Stegostoma tigrinum: one gene and its partner. The protein of the gene in region 1 purifies or fractionates together with the protein of each later gene. This does not show direct contact. Links are inferred from orthologs where the notes say so. Each region holds a gene or a part of one and is shown on either strand. Other genes may lie near its edges. The genes, in order: potassium voltage-gated channel subfamily A member 5-like and kcnab2a.

The links.
Region 2: the proteins of potassium voltage-gated channel subfamily A member 5-like (region 1) and kcnab2a purify together in Homo sapiens (co-immunoprecipitation; 3 studies listed by BioGRID and IntAct, counting the BioPlex papers as one, with this or other methods). This does not show direct contact. The link is inferred for Stegostoma tigrinum from reciprocal best matches to the Homo sapiens genes KCNA5 and KCNAB2.

Annotation. Positions count from the first base shown.
Region 1 is NC_081378.1:40,103,350-40,114,776, forward strand, and holds the start of potassium voltage-gated channel subfamily A member 5-like, read left to right. Parts: upstream 1-6,118; 5' UTR 6,119-6,175; coding exon 6,176-7,636; 3' UTR 7,637-9,146; intron 9,147-11,427. UniProt on the Homo sapiens protein: Voltage-gated potassium channel that mediates transmembrane potassium transport in excitable membranes. Forms tetrameric potassium-selective channels through which potassium ions pass in accordance with their electrochemical gradient.
Region 2 is NC_081381.1:25,933,843-25,944,751, forward strand, and holds the start of kcnab2a (voltage-gated potassium channel subunit beta-2), read right to left. Parts: upstream 5,201-10,909; 5' UTR 5,105-5,200; intron 289-5,104; 5' UTR 268-288; coding exon 50-267; intron 1-49.

The DNA of each region.
Region 1 (11,427 bases):
TCTGACAAGTCTATACTTCTCTGAGTTCTGAACTCAGGGTCTTCTCCTCATGGTGGTTGGTCTTGAGTCATCACTCTTGATGTCTTTGATGTGTTTTCTTTTATATGTTTGCTCCCAATCTTCCAGACCATTCAATGCCATTACCATTGCTGAAGACCCTCATAGTTCGGAGCTTGTTTACCCAAGAGACATGTACACAGGAGATGTTTTTCTCCATAGTTAACATCAGACATTTGCTTCAGTAAGCAGTCTTGTTTCACTTCGCCCCTTTACAGCAAGCTCACTCAATGTCTTTGTGCAGTTAGCACAGTTTCCATCATGCTTTTCAAGCTTCATCTGTAAGGCAATGGGCCACAGATACCCACAAAGTACAGGTTTAAGCCTGTTTCTAAAGCTTGTTCTCCTTGGAATAAAGAAGGCACTGGTGTAGTGGTATTTTTGCTGGATTAGAAATCCAGTGATGAATGTAACTCTCTGCAGTTTTGAGTTCAAATCTCACCATACATATGGTAGAATTTGAGTTTTAAAAAAATCAAATCTGAAATTAACTTTCATAATGAGCATCAAGTTGATTGTTGTAGAAACAACTATCTGGTTCACTAATGCCATTTAGGAAAGGAAAACTGCCATTCTAACCTGGTCTGCCTTCCATACGACTGTTTGATTCTTAACTGCCCTTTGAATTGGCCTAGGAAGCCATTCAAGGTTCTGAGGAAGGGTCACCAGACCCGAAACGTTAACTCTGTTTTCTCCTCCACAGATGCTTCCAGACCAGCTGAGCTTTTCCAGCAACTTTGTTTTTGTTCCTAATTTACAGCATCCGCAGGTCTTTTGGTTTTTATTTTGTGCAGGAAACAGTTCAGTTGTATCACTAAAATGTCTCGAATGAATGAAACCAGACAGACTACCTAGAATTGACTAATGCATTGGAAATGATAATGGCAAACACAGCCTTGTTGCCTTTGCATAGTCCTCTTGACCAACATCTGAGGGCTACTCTCAGGTTTGGGAGATGTGTTCAACACACCAATCAAGCAACAGCCTGTAGGTATTTGAAGTTTTTGAGAAGATTTGTAGCTCGGTTGTGGATGAGATTGTAGACCGATGGGTTTGGTTGCAAACGTTTCATCATCCTGCTAGGTAACATCATCCCTGTGCCTCTAGTGAAGCATCGGTGTTCTGTCCCACTTGTTATTTATATGCCTGGATTTGCTGGAATGGTTGACACCTCTTCCACTTCCAGGTCTGTTTTCAGTGGTTTGTATATCAAACATTGAACTGGACCCAATATACATACCACTGACAAACAAAACCAGAAGTAATTCCAACCACCCCAGAAAACAAGGCATATAAATAACAAGCAGGACAGAACACCGATGTTTCACCAGAGGCGCACTGATTGTGTTACCTAGCAGGGTGTCAAAACGTCTGCAATCAAACACACTGGCTGAGCGAGCATGCCTACAACCTTAACTGCCTGACATGGTTATACCCATGGAATCATACTTGACAGATGATGTTCCAGCCAAGACCTTCATGCCTATCCCAACGATAACACATATCGAGCAGAGGTGGCATAACAGTGGCACATAGTCAGAAGGGAGGTACCCTGGGAGACTTCAATATCAACCTCAGACCACACGAATAAGGAAATGTCCTGTTGATTCCAATGTACTACCAAAGCCTGCCTCCTCTACTCCACCATAATGAATGCCACTTGGTGTAAGCATTGAGGGTGCCATAGACTCAGAATATACCCTGGGGGATTTCAATCTCCATCACTACAACTCCAAAAGGATATAGCTGCCCACAATTGGGTGCTTTACATATTGCCATTGCAAAGTCCAGGGATGTTGCTAGGGGAATGACTGTCACGACTGGCTCAAAAAATCAACTTGTTCACATGCAAAAGGTGCTTTTTCAAAAGTTTAGGGAGACATTTACTTCCTAAATACTGGGGAAGCAGCATTAACCATCCAAAGAATTGTGAAAACCTTTGTTGATGTGTGCTACACATATACATACACATATATTTACATATCTAAAGAAACTGTCACACATGGCCAATTACCAGATAATCATGATATAAATATTGGAGCTTTCATTTCATGGATCATATTACTTAGAGTAGAGAAATGGCAATACAAATTTGACCATGAATGTGTCAAAACTTTTACCATTTTAGCACATTAATTTCTTCTTTGGATTCAGTGATAACTGTTCTAAAAAGAAAATTGTGCCACATGTGGCCTGAGAGTTTATCTTTTTGACCCCATTACTTATTAGCCACAGCTGCATATTGAATGCAAGCAGTCCTGTGAGATGGAAGAATTTACAAACAAAAGCTGCCTCCTTTAGGTTGACACTGTCATGGATGTGATACAATGTCCAGATGTATCCTGATAGATCAATGGAGACAGATAAGGTTAAAGTGAAAGTGCCATTTAATTAATGGTAGTCTCTGATTCTGATGGTCAACAAAAGCAGTGCTCAAGGAAAGGATAAATCAAATTTCGTTGTTTTTGTATTGCTGTGCATTACAGCAACACAAACCTTCAAGACATCTAGGTTCTCACTGGGAGCAATTAGAAGGCTATATATGTGAGACAAAGGAACCCCTTCATTGCAGCTATTTTAATCGGAAGTACAACTGAAAAGTAGGAAATCCTTAAAAGTGGGAACCAGAAGATAGAAAAAGCAGAACAGAATGATGGAAAGCCGAGACCATGAGCCAATTAGAAACCAGCTTTTCATTTGCAGGTTCTATCAGGATTTCACATCTATTACTAATGTGAAATGGGACAGCAAATGAATTAACTTGTAGATGTGATTTGTAAGGGTTGTGCATACATTTTTGCTCAGACACTAGTGATTTAAATTCACTAAATCTAATAACAATTTACAGAAATTTGAATAGTACAGTACTAAATTATTAAGAAATGATGAATTGGAATGAGAGTTCACTAGTACATTACAACTGCGTGAGGATTTTTGAACATTTTATTCGTTCATTTGTCTTTATTTTCAATTAAATGCGATTTTTTTAAAGAAACACAAGTTATCAGTCTTTATTAATTTTCAAACATGCTGTTGTTATAAAAATGACAGCACCAGTTATCTTATGAAAGCAATGTTCAAGCAACAGCAATGAATCAAATGATCGATTCATTGAGGAATTAGTTCAGAGAGGATACTAGAAATTTGCTGCTCTTAGAAAAGTGTCTCATGACGTTTTAACATTCAGTTGAACAGACATGTGGCATTAACAGTTGACTGGACAGTCAGAAGCAGTCTGACAGTCAGAAGCATCCAAAAGGACATATGGCATGTTATGCTGAGGCCTATTCTACATTATTAGTGTTTTGCATTACTTGAATAACATGAGAAACACGTGACACATTTGCTGTAAATTCAAGATCTGCCAAACCCTACCTTGTGCTTAATCCTTAATCTTCAAAAATTACTCACTTGCAAGAACTCGCATTAACTACTTATACCCCATTCAGTGTGCAGAATTACTTCAATCAGTACTGGCAGGTGGTCTATTATAGCTACCTCTCTGACAAGCAGACATTGGGCAAAATTCCCTAATTCATTTCATTTCCAGTTGGGATACTCCAATCTGCTAAACTCCCCACATGAAGAAGGATGAACTGGCTCCCGTTCCAAATTCACCCACCTTCTCGTTACAGTTTGTGTACACAAATCTACATAGGAAGTACCATAGTCTGCTCAAGTTCAATGTCAGTAGCTATTCCAAACCTTTTGGAAAAGGCATTTAGAAAAAGACATGCCCTCAATGCGATTCATATATTTACTGGGATGTGGAGCAACAGATTGGTGTAGGCTGCAAATATTCTCGCACTACAGCCACCATCTCCTCCCAAACTCCTGTTGGATACCAAATCAATGCCAGAGTTTGGATTTTGCATAACTTCTACAACCAATCTGGAGGTGAGGTTCTCCAAAGTTATTACGGTTCTGGATGGATACCCAAAATCATTAAGCTGCCAAGAGAGATAGGATGAACTCGCTCCCTGTCTTTATTTATCTATCTTCTCAGTTGGTTGCAACAAAGTTATTTTAGACAGGATTCCTCTGTGTGGAATCCTTTCTCGCAGACCAAATTAATGTTTTAAAAGGGGCAATTTGAACTTCTTTCTTGAGTGAACAAATGAGTGATATTATTGGTTACTTGATGTGAAAAGAATCAATAAAGTAATATGCTTACATGCAGATAGGAATAAGAAGTGAGCCTTAAAAAAAACACAAAAATATACTTGACTTTGTAGTGCTGAGGGTCTTTTCTGAGAGCATGATTTTATGAATCGATTGTTCAATTTTTAGTACATACAATTTATTAGCATGAATAGTCCTCATGCCGTTCAGCATTTTAAGTGGTGGTGGCATATATTAGTTTTCAATCTCCTGGAAACTAGTTTCAGTTATGTTAGTGTGTTATTTTATGAACTATTAAATTATGCACCCTTTCTGGTCAAATATTCTTAAAATTTCATAGTTTGCATTCCTAAAACTCATGAGGTGATTCGTGTTCAGCCTCTATTTGAAGAATCTTTGCTTAGGAAGAGATCTAAGCAGGAATTTGCTTTCAAAACCTGAAGCAAAACCATGCCTCAGCATAAATGTGATGCCTTACAGATTGTGCACTGTGCAAGCTGTCACACTCATGGGGAGGGCATCAATCAGTTGGGATCATGATTACTTTGCATTAGTTTTAGTTTGACGGCTATCAATTTATTTACCACTGGATCACACCCATATGTTCCAGAAAGAAACAGCACCATACAGTTAAGTCCATCTGCTCTCTCAATCGCTGACCGAATTAAATCATCACTATGTCATTGAGTCATGCAGCTGTACAGCACAAACGTTTCAGTCCGACCAGTCCACGCTGAACATAATCCCAAACTAAGCTAGTCCCACCTGCCTCCTCATATGCTTAGGTGAGATGAGGCAGAAAAAGTAAATGTGCTTACACATGATTCTGTGGTTAACCTCTCACTGGAGGCTATAGATGGAGGAACCGGACATGAAACATGGCTGACCCAAGAGGCTCTCTCACCACTGCCATAGGCTACCAGAAAGTGATAAACAGCCTGGTTAGCCGTGACACCTTCACTGCCCATCAAGTTATTCAACAGACCTACATTCATATGTTGAACTAGATGGCAAAATGTGTTCAGAAATTTATGATAAATCCACAAACACCAGTTTTCACCTTTCCATTCTGGACAAACTCCGTGACCCGAGGTCAACCACCCAGCGGACCAGAACCCAGCTCTTAATTCCGGAACGGTTCTGGTAGACCCGTAAAGAGACCTGTATTTTTGAAACTGACCATGTCCTGGAGTGGGACTTGAACCCAAGCTCCTGACTCAAAAGACAGCACTCACCACGCCACAAAACCTCCCTGACCCAACTGTACAAAGCACTTGAATCACCACATAGGGTAAATAAAATAACATTCAAATGTTGGTTCCTTTCTCTTTAAAAAACAGTCGTTTAACATTCTACCTGTTTGTATAGTGAAATCGTTTAAAAGTGAGAGAAGGGTTGATGTTTAAATGATTGTGGTTGGCGATCGGGCTTGTATCTGGGAACGGGAAGGGACCGGGGCGGGGAGGTACAGGAGTGTGGACTGGGCTTAGTGGAGGGGTTAAGTCTGAGGCAGCAGCGCCCAGGGTCGGGGTGGGGGGGTCAGAGCGGTGGGTGATAAATTCTGCTGCTCATTTTCAGGCATTCGACGTCAGAGGGAGAGAGAGCTGCAATCATGATTTATTTGTTGCTCATCCGGGTTCCGCTGCTGTATCCAATGCCTTGATGTATCTCTGTGCCTTGCTCTGGGGTGGGGACTGTTGATCTCTGTCTCTGTCTCTTTGTGTGTGTGTGTGTGTGTGTGTGTGTCTCCCAGCGCTCCGCTGACTGATCAGTTCTCGCTAGATGTGGAATGTGTTGAATATTTAATGGCTCGGGGATGGACATAGCTCTGGTGAGGTTGCAGGACGGTGGCGCCGCTCTGGGGAGCTGCCAGAGAGGTGGAGGTGGTGCTGGTGGAGGAGGAGGAGGAGGAGGAGGCGGAATCTTAGCGCCCCTGGGTGTGAGCGCTGCTGGCCCGGCGGCCAAGGGCTACCTGGACCCCCCGGCTCCGGGCGAGATGAACGCGGCGGGGCCGCTGAAAGCCGTGGACCAGGCGCCGCCGGTGGACAACCTGCAACAGCAGCAACTGCTGGAAGTCAACCGCTCGGAGCGGGTGGTGATCAACATCGCCGGGCTCCGGTACGAGACCCAGCTGAGCACCTTGAGCCAGTTCCCGGACAGCCTACTTGGAGACCCCGAGAAAAGAATCAGGTACTTCGACCCGCTGAAGAACGAGTATTTCTTCGACCGCAACCGGCCGTGCTTCGACGGCATCCTGTACTTCTACCAGTCGGGCGGCAGGATCCGCAGACCCGTCAATGTCTCCATCGACATGTTCGCCGACGAGATCCGCTTCTACAAGCTGGGACCCGAGGCCATGGAGAGGTTCCGTGAGGATGAGGGCTTCATCAAGGAAGAGGAGAAGCCTTTGCCTCGCAATGAGTTCCAGAAGCAGATGTGGCTCCTTTTCGAGTACCCGGAGAGTTCCAGCCCTGCCCGGGGTATCGCCATTGTCTCGGTGCTGGTCATTGTCATCTCCATCATCATCTTCTGCCTGGAAACCTTACCCGAGTTCCGCGATGACCGCGACAGTGCCAGCAACTCTCCGCTCAACACCAGCGCCCAGAGCCCCGGGACTGGGGACAACAGTAGCCTCAGTGACCCCTTCTTCATCATCGAGACCACCTGCGTGGTCTGGTTCACCCTGGAGCTGCTGGTCCGCTTCCTGGCCTGCCCCAGCAAGTCGGTCTTCGCCCGGGACATCATGAACATCATCGACATTGTGGCCATCATCCCGTACTTCATCACCCTGGGCACTGAGCTGGCCGAGCAGCAGACCAATGGTCAGCAGGCCATGTCCCTGGCCATCCTCAGGGTCATCCGCCTGGTGCGGGTCTTCCGCATCTTCAAGCTCTCCCGCCACTCCAAGGGTCTCCAGATCCTGGGCCAAACCCTCAAGGCCAGCATGAGGGAGCTGGGCCTGCTCATCTTCTTCCTCTTCATCGGGGTCATCCTCTTCTCCAGCGCCGTCTACTTCGCCGAGGCGGACGAGCCGCGCTCCCACTTCTCCAGCATCCCCGATGCCTTCTGGTGGGCGGTGGTCACCATGACCACGGTGGGCTATGGGGACATGAAGCCGGTCACCATGGGCGGCAAGATCGTGGGGTCGTTGTGCGCCATCGCCGGCGTCCTGACCATCGCCCTGCCCGTGCCCGTCATCGTCTCCAACTTCAACTACTTCTATCACCGGGAGACGGACAACGAGGAGCAGGCTCAGTACCTGAAGGACGACACGGACAGCGAGCCCAGTCACTCAGAGGAACTGAAGAGGAGCAGGAGCTCCCTGGGCAAACCCTTGGAGAACAGTGAGGGGGTGAACAATGGCGCGGGGGCTCACCTGAAGGCCAACAGTGCCCCCGACATCAGGAAATCGCTGTACGCACTATGTCTGGATCCAAATACAGAGACCGACCTGTAGCCCCGGCCACTTTCCACATGACAACTCTCCAGACTTGTTTGGGGTTGACAAACTGAAAAAAAAAACCACTCAGCATTTGTACAAACCACACAGGTTAGATTAGTTAGGCGAGAAGAAAATATCAATTTTATACATCATTCTTTATCAGACCGTCAGATACATTCCAAGGGGTTTAGCTAAACACTTTGGCGCTGGTTCTTAATTTTTTTGGGGCGTGGGCTGTTGGAGGGGTTTGGGGTTGTTGATGAGACACCGGTTTTCTGCAGGTGCACAATAGGACAGCTGGAACTTGTGCACAGCTCCAGCCTCCGTCTTGTATTTGTTTTGCTTTCATTAATTGGAAACAAATGTAAAGTCTTAAAATTCCATAAGTTTATTTTTGAATTTGTAATTGAGGCAGGTGTGAAGTAGCTCAGTTTTCCTGTGAGGAAGAAAGGTCATGGACTATCCAACCCTTTGTTTCCTGCAATACTTTGCTCATGTTTTGTGTCATATATATTTATATATTTATATACATAAAATTAAGCGGTAGGAGTGGGAGGCGGAAATGTATTCAAACGCATCAAAGCCTGTCGTGATGAGAGTTCGCAACAGTGTTTGTTTTATTTACAATGTAGCTACCGTCAGAGAGAGAGGAAATTCAGTTTGCTTGGAGTCTTAAGGAAGACAAAAGTCGTATTTGTATTTAGGCAATGTGGGACTTCTCTGTTCGCAATATATTTTTTCAAAGTGTTCATGCGACAAAATTCGAACAGATCATACGAGAATTACTGAACAGTATATTTAGATAATTGGAGCATTCCTTGTTTATTTAATATTTATGGGGACTTAAATCAGCAACTTCAGCTTTTTGTACTGATTTTCCATGTTTGGAGAAGCACTAGACTCTCTCTTTGCTGGTAGAGCTGTCAAAGCTTATTGTACATCCACTTAATGTGTTGCAAATGATCTCATGTAAACAAAAATCCAAAGGAATTCGCTAGAGGATCCACTTGATCATATTTGTAATGACCTAAGTGAATGCATTGATTTATACTAATGTTGTAAAATAACTATTTTAAAATCTGCATATTTATTCTGAACAGTAAATCTGCAAAACTGGGTTCTCTAAGAACAGACGAAGATTGGGATTAAGTACCTGAAGTTTAACACATGAACTGTGAAGTAATAAAAGTTGATACCACAGAGTGATGAAACAACAAAAGATAACCAACACATTTTTTTGAACTGGAAACACATTTTAGATGATGACAAATCATTCTGGATTTGATATTTGCTATGACTCGTCTTTTATCTTTTGAAAATGTTTAGAGGAAGTGAACTTTGGACAACATTATATGTTAGGGACTGCCTTATAACTATCGCAAAGCTATAACAATTTGAAACAAATCTTGTGATGTGGAAGGATTTTTACCAGATTCTGAACCGATATTCAGAACACCCATGTCTTCAAATGGACAAAACACCTGTCTCTTGTGAGTGGCTCACTGCTGCAGGCACATGATCGAAGGTTAGTGTTTTACCATTTCTTTTTAAAACTTTGCTTTGCTTAAAAAGTAAACAAAAAATGAAGATTTTAAAAAGGGTACCATTTCTTTCATTTGTAACCCTTTTAAACATAAAAAAATTGAGTTACAGGACATTGTGAAATTATCAAAGTACTATCTACATTCATTTAAAAAATACAAGATCTTTCATTCTAATGCAGCTGTTTTGCTATTAAATGCACAGATAATTACTGGCTTTGTGAAAAGTATCAACAAAGAGCTACCATAATGATTTCACTGTGAGCTTATTAGTGTATTATCTGCTTTGCTGAATGACATTACTTTGATTGGCAGGTAGCCCTCTGCTGATGAGCAATCCATACCTTGAGACTTGAGCCTTTTATGTTAATTTCAGATGTTAATTACATAATGTTAGCAAGAACTTTGTAAATACTTACGATCTCTGATTCTGATATTTACATTTGAAGTTTTCTTCTGCCTTACATATACAGAAAGTTTACAAAATTACTTGAACATTAATTAGCACTATCTTGTTTCATAGATAATTTTCAAAAGAAATCTGAGACTGTTTTACAACCACATATCTGATATGGATTGTGCAACCACCTGGGGGAGACCACACCATTAGATATAATGTCCTGCCTTATTTAACAAAAATAGATTTCCAATTTCAAAACAGCTGAATTGAGAATCACCAGCATCAGTGCCACTCTTTTTATTCTTAAAAGATAAATGGAAAAGGGTGTTTTGGTTCATGATTTATGGGTCTTTCCTTGATATTGCCATCTTATACACTCCATGGGTTCTTAACATAAATTTAATTTGGTTTGCAGGAAATCTGTTTAGAACAATAGTTTATAACTGCTGTTTACAGCATTTTACCATTTGACAGTGTACATATGTCGGCATGTTCAGAGATCAAATGAATTCAGATGGCTGACTGTTTCAACATTACAGACTTAAGATTTTCTGTGTTGCTGGGTGATTGCGACATCATACCCACAGCAGGAAGATTTCTTCTGATCACCATTTCTCGTGAAAACATGAATACATTCTCAAATAACATGATTTTAATTTTGCTAGGAATACTAACCAAAGGAAATCTTCCTTTTACATTTTAATGTTGCATGTGCTTAGTGGCCAAGAAGAAAACAGTCCTGATTGTCATCGTATTTTGTTTGATGTTGTTTCTATTTATTTCTTATGCACATACATGTTTAAAGATTGTACTTTTCATTAATGAAGTGCTGAGCTCTTTTGTGTTTAATTATTTGTGAGTATTTGTTGAAAATGTTATTGACAGAACATATGAAATTATATTTTGTGTACTGAGTAGTGTGGACAATTGTCATGTCTTATTCACTGAACTAAACTTTAATTCGTAGCAGAGTTATACAAATAATATTCAATTTTATTACGGCACCTTTCTTTAAGCAAATCAAATGTTAGTAATCTGTAGGACTAGATGGTATTTGGCTTATTTGATTTGTACACCATTCTTGAAGAGTTGCCTCATCTCAAATTCAGCTAAGACTTCATTGTTCGTTAGCCACAAGTGCAATGATTCTGGGCAGTGTCAGTGTTGTTCCTCATGGAGTTGCCTTTCACTTACCGATGTGCTATTCATTCTTTGTTCACCCCTATTTCTGCTGCTGTTGAGGTTAATGAGCATATAAAGAAGGCAAAATGTTAAATGGGCATCCTATTACTGTTTTGTTCTCTATCTAGCAATAAAGGTGAAATTTCACCCCAAAGGCTGCTATTCCACCATACAAAACTACATATTCTTCACAAAATTGATAATACCACTGAGGAAGTGCAGAACCATGAATTATGAGGAAGTTTGTAAAGGTGCAACACCCTTTATATTGAGGCAGATCAATACGATGGAGAAAAGAGAGTTAAAAGCTGCATTGCAGCTATTATGAGAATACATGATGCCAATTTTGAATATTCAGTTTGGAAAATCAATGTTCTATTCCTTAAATTGTAAGAACCGGTGATGCTGGAAATACCCAGCATTTCTTTTGTTTTTAAGTGTTATTATGAAAATTAGCTAGGGGCTGCAGAGATGTCAGCTCCTACATCAATTGAGGTTAACATTTTCCCTTTTTACAAGAGTTTCATATTTGCCTGTTTATAGCACTTTGAAATATGTAACCTAGAAACTTAGACACATTATATTGGCTAGAAATTTTGTGCAGGCTGTTGCAGGCTAATATGAAATGTCTTTGGTTATTATCACCACATTGGCATGATGGCTCAGTGTTTAGGATCGTTGCC
Region 2 (10,909 bases), on another chromosome or scaffold:
AGTGATGATCAACCATGCAACACAGCAAATGAAAGAACATTCCCCTTACCTATACTTCATGCCTGTCTGATAGGCAGTACAATTTTCCAGCGACAGACAGTGCATTAGGAGAAACTCTTCCATCTTCTTCGATTGGACCAAGGCTCTGACTTCTCGGAGCTTCTGCATCTCTATTGTATCAGTGTGCCGCACCTGATTCAAACCCTGATCTGAATGGTATCTAGTTATTCGTTCCTTCAAGTTTTCAGTGTAAGACATGGACAGCATTTTCTCAACTATCTTGGAAATCTGCAAATTTTCAGGTTGAACATTTTTACACAAGAAGACCTGAATTACATTTGCTGGGGCCCTAATATCTCAGTAATGTTAGATCTGGGAGTGGTGAACATGTTGAGGTGGTAAAGGACATTAGCTAACCATCCAAATACTTTAAGCTCAACTGTCTAAAAATAGGACCACTTGCATGTTCACGAGCTACACTATTCTGGATGCCAACAAACAAGCAATTTAGCATTCTGTAACTGGATCTCATTGTCACCAAAGATCCTCTCAAAATAGCAAAGAAAAAAGTAGTTAGTTTCATAATATGTACAACATGATTTTCATGTATTTTAAGAAGCACACTTAGATCCTTCTAATGTTATCAGATTGAAAGATTTCCACTTATAAAAATTAAATAAAAGCAGCCACTGGGAAATACATCATTGCTTAAACTTTTCTACAGGATTTGAAGCAGTTACATGGCAACTGAATGACTGCATTTGGCTTTTAATGACATCATCCAATAATTCACAGTTGTACAACTGGAATATCAACAGCATTTGGTGTTTCCTGGGACCAAAACACGTTTGATAGCATGTTAGCAAACAAGTTAATAGCAAAACCTGCTACTCCTAATGAGAATCCTAATGAACGAGCTTTGGTAGCAAACTGAAAATTCTATTATAGAAGGTGAAGCACTAAAAACAAAATATAAATAATAACCACCTGAAAAGATTATGGTAATTGGAGAGATTGTCAGGCACTTTCCCTAATTTTTCCATCTCTAGTCAGGTACCTTTTCCCTGAAGGAGATGGTAGACAGATAGTCAGATCTTCAATCTATGGTGAAGAGAGCAGTCAAAGAGAGGTGCATAAAAGATTGAACAGTTTATTTTCCAATTTTTAATCCATTGTGAAACCTTCAGTCAGCTTCCATTAGGTAACTGATTCTGACAATATGATGGAGCATGAGGAAGAGCAACGCAAGGAATTTGTTTCTTGGAGATAGAAAAATTGCAATATTGTTATTGTTTGACGTTTATGCACACAATTTTCATTTATTTGAAGATGTGTGATCATCCCCAGAAATTTAAAATGTGGCACCAAAATTTTTATAGACTTTTCTCTCCACCTTGACAGAAGGCTCTGATTAATGTACGAGTACCACTCAGTAGGCATCCTCAGAACTCCCATAATTCACTCACATTATCTGAACAATAAACTTAAAGTGTGTTAATTTGCAAAGTTAGGAGAAGAATCAAGTTTGAATTTTATATTACTCTCAACTGAATACAGGCATTTCTAGCAGAAATTATTAGATATTAATCAGGAACAGGAACCATGGCTAAGTTCACGCTTCCTAACTTGGGACCTCACTGAGGTATACTGTTGCTGCCCACATCGGCACCCTATCAAATCACGTGGCATAGGCCATCAGTGCACACAGTGAAGAGAAAACAATGTATTTTTCACTGTCATTCAAGACAAAAAGAATATTAACTCACTGACTGTGACTAGATTGTTCACAGACCAGATGGAAGAAGTAGTGAGGCTTTTCTTGTGACAATAAAGCTAAATCTTCTAGTAATTATCCAGAACATATTCTGATTGTTAAAATGAAACCTTCCTGCTAATATGACTAATTTAAATCATTTAGACATGACAGCAGCTGTAGAATTTCAAATAATAAATTCTTCAAACTTGTTTTTACATTCAGTTTAGTGGCATGATTGTACTGCTGGCTTCCAAGACAAAAATCATGTAAACTGATGCTGGCCTCATGATGTTAATTTGTTGGATTTCCTATAGTTGAGATTACTGTCTTTAGTGAAATCAGGTGGCATGCATACACCACTGAACGCGATGTGAAAGATCATGCCCATAAATTGTGAAAGGGGAAGCCTTCACTTAACCTTGCACCACTGCTAACAAAAAAGATCATTTGTCAATTAATTAAATATTTTAGCATTTATAATGAAACATTTTTATAATCAAAACATAGAAATATTATGCCTCGTTACAAAAAAGGTACTTCTAAGATACCAGTTTTTAAATTGGTTCAAATATTTACAATTTTTATTTAGGCAAGTCCCACGGAGAACAACATAACAAAACTCCTTTCCAGCCTCTGAGGCAGGTTCTTCACTCTCCCATCATTTTCTTTAAAGATACCAACTTTTGCTGGGTAACAATCTCATGGTGCTTTTCATTTCTTTGCTCAACCACCCAGCATGGTTAAGCTTTTCCAGTAGAATTAGGCAAGCAGTTCAAATTGAGCGGCATCACGGTAAAACTCAATCCTTTTCTCAAAAGTGGGAATCACTAGAAAGTAAGTCACTGGACAACGGAAACAGGTACAACAAATAATTTTCTCCTGAGGTCAATTATATGGTCTTTATAATTACACAAGCTGAAAAACAACCAGCATAAATGGGATCAAACACAGAATTTTCTTGAACTGTGGTTTAGCAATCCATCACCATAACCAGTTAAGTTTCACACTTTTTAAAATGTATGTATTGTTTATATGCACAGTATTAATAAATATACAAGAAAGCCTCACTTCTCTTGTACTGGCTTTCAAAGACAATGCTATACGAGGTTAGTGTATTTAACAATTTGTAATCATGGTCATAAATTAATATTTGCATTTTGCCTGAAAGTAAGAAATGCCAAAACCACAACCAAAATTAACTGTTAGGTTATTCATAACATTTTTTGTAGTATTGAACAACATATTTTTGAAGAATATTTGAAAAAGAGATGCCATATTTCTAATACTGATCTTTGAAGGTGGCATTTTGGTGTGCCCTGGACATGGTCTGAATTAAATATTTTCTTTTTTAAAAACTGTAACGCATATACTTATTTATTACACATTCAGATGGTGCATTCAGATTTGTTCGAGTTTCCATTAAATATTTTAACATTCAATGTTAGTTTGAACTGAAGTAGCAACAAAACATATGGGTCTTAGATAAGACATTACCAGGCTGTAATCAGAAACTGGGCTGCAGAAGGTGGCAAGGCTCATGCGCCAAATTGTCACTTAATGACATACTGGAAAGCATATGAAGGAAACATGCAAATTAAACAAAGCTGGAAAAAAGGGATAGAACCTAAATGACAAATACAAATAAAATTAAAGTACAGAAAAATAAATGTTTTGTTATAGCATGAAGTACACACATTAAAACAAGGAGATGATTAAATACAAGCGTAATTTATAAGTTCAGATGTAAATTCAACATCAATTCAAATCAAAATGCCCTGCCTTTTCAGGCAAGATGGAAGAAGAGATGACTTTTATTATATTATATTATAAAAGGCGAGGAAGTTTCTGGATGCATGCAATAGTGGAATAGCAGGTCTGAGCAAGTATGATGATTACAGGGCAAAAGGAGCAATACCAGAATCTGGAGAAGTAAGGATAGACAGGGAAAACACTGTGGACCGGAGAGAAAAGAAAACAATGTAATAGCTCTATAATCTACTTTTAAGCTTGAGAAACATATCGAAGAATCATAGCTTCAAAGTTAAAAATCTCTTAAGACACAAAAACTTAATCTGTGTTAAAGAATAACAGACAGTTGCACTGAAAACTGGAACAAATATAAATGTGATCTACAAAAGTCCTTGAACTCTATTTGTAACAATGCCTCAGTTTCCTTCTGTGCTTAGCATAAAATTTAGTTATAAGCTAATAATGATTCACTGGTGGGCAATCAAATCTCTGTCGTGTAAATTTAACAGGGCTAAGTACCCTTTTTTCTCCCCCATATAATAAACTGTAGTTGGATGCAAAGCAGCAGGCAGCTATCTAAAATAGGCAAATCCCATTAAATTGGGATATACCTTAATACAATAATTGCGTAACTACAGTAAAAACTGGCATCTCCATTCCAAATGTCGACATTTGCTTTTGTAAGATTAAAAATATTGACAAAGTCCATTCAATTTATCAATTTAATTCTACATTTTTGTCCTATTTTCAGGGATTACTGATATCAGGAAATCAGTACATAAAACAGTACCATGAAGCTTTATTCTTGATTTGAAATTGGTATTGAAAATGAATGGTCATTATTTGCAGCCATCTTTGGTACAGCCCCACACACAAATATAAATTACTGAGTATTTCTTGCATGTTGTCGTTTTCCAATCCAAAATAAAAATCTATTGGTGTGTAATTTTTTGCTGTTGCAAGATAAGAAATAAACAGTAAAGCAAAGCAAAATGTTTCATAGCAGGCATACAGCAAAACAATTTTTACCAAACCTCTGGGAATGACTCTTCGCTTTGGTTAAGTTGAACTTTTGCTGCTGCTTACTATAATGCTTCTCCTTGAAAAAGGCACAACTAGAAAGGAAAGACCCCAAAGTTGTGCCAAAGGGGGAGGAGGTTCATATTGCAGCTAGAATTAAAATTCCATTGTGCAGCTTTCCCTATTAATATTACTAGAGATAATTTTAAAGAGTATTAAAATTAAGTTGTTAAAATAAAAATCCATTTCATTAAAATATGCAATACTAAATCATGCCTATCAAAAAAGCAATATTTTCCAGCAGCTGCTTTTATTTCAAAAATTTTAAACTTCGATAGACAATCTCATACCCCAAATTTACATTTCATGTTTATACACAAAGACTATATAAATCCCTTCCCTTCATATCTGTTGGTTTTAAGTTTACCATTTTTTAAAAATGCTCCAAGGCATCAGATAAAAGCTAAATTTAAAAATTAATAAAACTAAAAGTTTATATGCATACCCATTCAGGAAGATACACTCCAGCATCACTACTGTTTGTACATATTATTCTTCTAAACTAAAAGCAAAACTCACCCAACTGCCAGAGTAGCTGCTTGTTTAAAAACCAGGAATGGCTTTTAAGATCTATAAGACTCTACGACAGCACTTTGATATTTGGAGGGGGCGTTCTATTGTCAAAAGCAATTAGTAAGTACCAAATCCATTCCCCCTGCTATAGACTAAGTGGTTTTCTGATGCAGCCCATTTGCTCTTATCAGTGTACTTGCATCTTGGCAAATAGTGGTTAAATTATTTAGGGCATTCTCTTCCACTAAAAGCTTACTGTAGCAGATGAAGTATTGTTTACTGCTTAAAAGGGATAAAGCCACCACTACCTTAAATGAACCTAGGAACCTGTGCAGGCTTTTCATCAATTTTTGCAGAGTGCATATATTTTCGTAACTGAACAATAATGATTGGTTTAAAAGTGTGTTAAACCCCAAGATAAATGGAGCAATTGGTTCAATCTCCGAGAAACATAATTTCAGCAGAGGTTATTTTAGAATATTCTGATGTACAGATGCCTTACTGCTTCTTTACTAATTATAAGTTTATTGTACAATTATGCTGTATATGATAGCTGCTCGAACTAAAAAAATTAAAGCATGAACTCCTTTTAAACATGTACCACACCACAGCTGTTTATATTTCCTGGATTGAGATAGTTGCATTACTGCAGCACTATTGACACCCCAATGTCTGAAAATTTTCTTCTAAATAATTATTGGAATAAATAAAATTAAGTTCTGAAATTTCAATAAAAAGATATTTTTAAATGAAGCTTAAAAATTGAACTTTGTACTAATCCTAATTGTAATGCAACAAATAGAAAGATCACTAACCTACTAGAAATGAATGGACCAATATGCATCCAAATTGGTGACTGTGTAATACTTTTGATACCAGCGCTACCAAAAGCAAGGGAACTGATACTTACATAGCACCTTTAATGGAATAAAATGCCCCAAATTGCTTCAAAGGAATTGGCTCTTACCTCTTGGTGATTCACCCTATACTTGTCTTCACCTAGTTCTCACCTGAGGATCAAAATAATTGTTCACAATGCAACCACAGTTATAACTAGTAAAGCATTCAATGGCTCAGCCAAACCAGGCAAGGGTAGTGATCAGGTTTACTAACCTTAGCAACTTAAGGGTTTGTCTACTCTGGTCTTAAAGCTAGGACAAAGTCAAATTGAAGTAATACACCAGACTCTTCAAGAAAGCACTATTCAAGCCCAAGATTTCACTCCATGATCAGAACCTTTCAGCAATGAATAAATTCATGTAATTTAACAATTTCACGTTACCCAAGCTGCCTATAATGACAAAAAGACACATGTAAGAATTATTTAAGCAAGTATAGATTTCAACAAAAAGTCTGCCTACCAAACTGCAAGTTGACAGAATAATGGTCCTGGCTCACTCAGCTCCAACCATGACAGATTTGATCTGTGTACCAGCATCACACCAAGAAAGTCAACTATTTTCATTTAAACAGCCTTTGGAAGCTTCTGAAGATAAGATGGTAGGACAAAAAAAAAACAAGCATCCATGTAATCATCCAAGTTGTGGATGCTTGGCATGTACACCATGATGAGACAGTTACAACTTAGATGGACTGGTTATCTAGTGACATTTGAGTCAAAAATATGCAGCAGGTGGATATACATGTCCCCATTTGAACAACTGTTTATTTATTCTATTTGCATTTCTCAAGTCTATTCCTTTCTTCCTTCCTTCATTATTGACATCCGTGTGTTCCCAAATGAAATCTCTCTACTTGAAGTCCACTGGGGTAGAACTGTTCCACTGGGACAGGCTTCACTTAAGCCATGCTGGGACCAGTATCCTGGTGATTGAATAACTAGGTCTAGAGTGAGGGCTCTGAAACAATTAGAAGGGGGTAAGGAAAGCATATGAGAAAGGGGAAACAGCTTTGGGTTACAAATCAAAAAGGATATGGCAACTTTACAGGGTGGTTATTGTTATGGACCAGACCAACCCCTTAAAAACATATCACTGAGATAGCCCAGATCCCAACATTAATCTTACTTAAAGGGAAGTAAAAGATGCTGCACTGCAGATGTGCTTCAAATGATCAAACTACTAGACTTTAAGCAAAAGACACTTTATTCTTACACCACAGTTAAAATACAGACAAAGAAAGAATTGGCATAACTTAAACTCTACCAAAATATTTGACATAATAATATATTATTTAACTTCTACTCATCAACTGTTCCACTATACCAGCAAAACATTTACACACTCCTAGCAAAAGCAAAATCACTCACATGCTTTCTCTAGTGCAGGAGATAAAATGAATGAATCTAGCAGCAGAGACAGAACTCAATATTTTGCAGCAGTAGAAAAAGAACGATACTGAGCAGCTTCAACTCCAAATACCCCAACTTCAACAACTGAAAGCAAACAAAAATCCTGGGTCTGTGTGAGCCTAATTCTACCCACTCATGTTTCTTTTGTCTAGCCAAAAAAAGCCCAAAACTATTTACTATGCATTCCATAGAGCACAAACCTCGTCACCAGATTTACATCCCCACCTCCAAGAAAAATAGGACAGATTAATTTCCTCTTAAAGGTACACAGCATAATATCCAAAGTGGGGCAGGAAGAGTAAGTGTGTACAACAATACAAAAACAGCAGTAAATAGGCTAAAAAGGTAGGAGTGTGGGAGGGGGTTGGTGGAAGAATAGTTTAAAAAAAACTAAGCAAAAAAGCTCTTTACTTTGAATCTACATAGAAGTTGGAACAAAAAAACAATGTAAATTAACGAACAGCATAGAGGTTAATAGATATAATTTTATAGTCATTAGGAACATACTGTTACAAGGAGATCAAAGCTGCAACTAACTATTCAGGAGTGCCCGACTTGTTGAAAGAGCAGGCAGGAAGGACAGCAGTAACAAGGCGTGGAGCTGGAAGAACACAGCAGGCCAGGCAGCATCAAACACCCGAAACGTCAGCTTTCCTGCTCTTCTGATGCTGCCTGGCCTGCTGTGTTCCTCCAGCTCCACACGTTGTTATCTCAGACTCCAGCATCGGCAGTTTCTACTATCCGTAAGGATGGACAGGATGATGGGGTAACTTTGTTATTTTGGGTGGAATAAATACAATAAGAAAAGAAAAATTCTGGACTGGAATATATAAAATCCATGAGTAGAGATAAGAAATAACAAGGACAGGACAACACTGGTAGGAATGAGTCTTAGACTCCAGGTCTCCTAACAGGAGTTACATGGTAGGACAGAAAATAAATCAGAAAATAACAAAGGCATGTATAAGGAAAAAGGCACGTTGTCAATCATCGGAGATTTTAATCTTCATGTAGATTAGGAAAGTCAGATTGGTAGAAGTAGCCTAAAGGAAGAATTCATAGGATACATACAAGACAGTTTCCTAGAACGTGTGGATCCAGCTCGGGCTCAGGCCATTTTGGATCTGGTATAAGGAGGCAAGATTCATAAATGATGTCATAATAAAAGATCCCTTAGAAAATAACAACCATAACATGATAGAATTTAGTATTCAGTTTGAGAGTGAGTGACTTGGGTTGGAAACAATTGTGCTAAAATGAAATAAAGCTAATTTCAAAGGAATGAGGGCAGAGCTAGCTGGAGTGGACTTTGAAAGGAGTTTAGCAGCAAAGGTAGGTCAGAAATGATAGTAGACTTTAAGAAAATGGACCCTGGCTTACAACAAAGATGTATCGTAGTGAAAAAAGGAAGATTCTAGTTTGGGAATAAACCAACTGTGATTAACAGGACAAGTGAAGAATGACATCAAAATGAAAAAAAAAGTACAATGGGGAAAAAGACTAGTGGTAAGCCAGGGGTTTGGGAGATTTTAAAAACCAACAAAGACAAACCAAAAATGAAGAGAGAGAAAACAAACTTAAAGATAAACTTGCAAGTTATATCAAGACTCACAGAAACAGCTTCTTTAAATACATAAAAAGAAAGAGAACCCAAGGTGAAAATAGGCCCCTCAGAAAATAAAGCAGGGGAAATAATAGTGGAGAAACCAGGGGGTCCAAAAAGGGAGAAGAAATAAATTGAATAACTATCCATAAAGATAAGTAGGGGAAAACTAATGGGGCTAAAGAAGTGTCTCCTTGATGTGGTGCATTCTAGGATATTGAACAAAATAGCTTCAGAGATAGAGGTTGTACTAGTAGTGATTTTCCCAAGAACCTTTACATCCTGGAAAAGTGCCAAAGGATTTTAAATCTGTTATTGCAACAAAGGGATGAAAACAAAAAAAGGCCAATTGATTTAATATTTGTTATTGGGAAAACATTACCGTATATTTTGAAGGATGCAATAGCATACCACAAAAATACATAATGTAACCAAGCAGCATTAGCACAGCTCAATGAAGAGAAAATCATGCCTGGCAAATTTATTAGAATTCTTTGAGGATAAAGGAGAACCCACGGATGTAATAAATTAGGAATTCCAGCACATGTTTGGTAAGGTGCTACAAGTTAACTTACTCAATAAACTTAAGAGCCCATGGTGTTAGAGGCAGAATATTAGCATGATAGAGGATCGGATAACTAATATAGGACAGAATGTTGGGATATGAGGAACATTTTCAGGATGGCAACCTGTAACCAAAGGAGTGCCACAAGGATCAGTGCTAGCCACAACTATTTACAATATATAGTAATATTTGGGTGAAGAAAATTAATGTGCTATAGCCAAGTTTGTAGATAACAAAATTAGGTGAGAAGGCAAGTGGTAAGGATGACAACAATTCTGCAGAGGGACATAAACAGGCTAGGTGAGTGGGCAAAATCTTGGCAGATAGAAAATAATGTAGGGAAAATGTGAGGAATAGCAGGAGGAATAGAAAGGCTTAATAGAACTTAAATAGAAAAAGACTGCAGAAAGTGTAGCGCAAAGGATATTGGGAGTCCTGATAGATAAATCACAAAAGGCTAGCATACAAGTTCAGCGGGTATTAGGGAAAACAGGCCGAATGTCCATCTTTATTTCAAAAGGGAATGCAACATAAAAAAAAGAGAAGTCTTACTAAAACTTTACAAGGCATTAGTTTGACCACACCTGGAACACAAAGAACAGTTCTGGTCCATTTATCTAAAGAAAGATATATTGGGTAGTCTTGGTAATGTTCACTGGGTTGATCCTGGAGATGGAGGGATTGTCTTATGAGGAAAGATTGAGCAGGTTGAACTTGTATTCATTGGAGTTTCAAAAAGTGAAAAGGTAGCCTTATTGAAATATACAAAATTCTTAGGGGCTTGACAGGATAGATGCATAAAGCTTATTTCTCCTTAAACAGGAGAGTCCAGGACCTGAGATAATAATCTTAAAACATGGGGTTACCCATATAAAACAGGAATGAAGAAGAATTTCTTCTTTGAGAGTGCTGAATCTGTGGAATTCTTTACCAAAGAGGGCTGTAGACACTGGGTTGCCAAGTGTATTTAAGGCTGAGACAGGCAGATTTCTAAATCAGTAATAAAATCCAGGGTCATGGGGGAAAATGCTAGAAAGCAGAGTTGAGGATTATCAGATCAACCATGTCAACAGTGATACTGCAACTTCTATCTGCCACAGTTTATACTTCAAAAGAAAAAGGGATCAACAGCACTCAGCAATTCATATACCACCAACTCATTTGCTCTTCATCACAACTAGGACAACCTACACATCACGTACGCTCACAAAGGCTTGAATGGGAAAAGGACACTAAATGCTTGTTTGAACATGCAACATCCATCCTTTGAGAGGTGTGGCAGGTGCCGCTCTGCACAGATAGTCAGGAGGAGTGACAAACAGGCAACCAGGA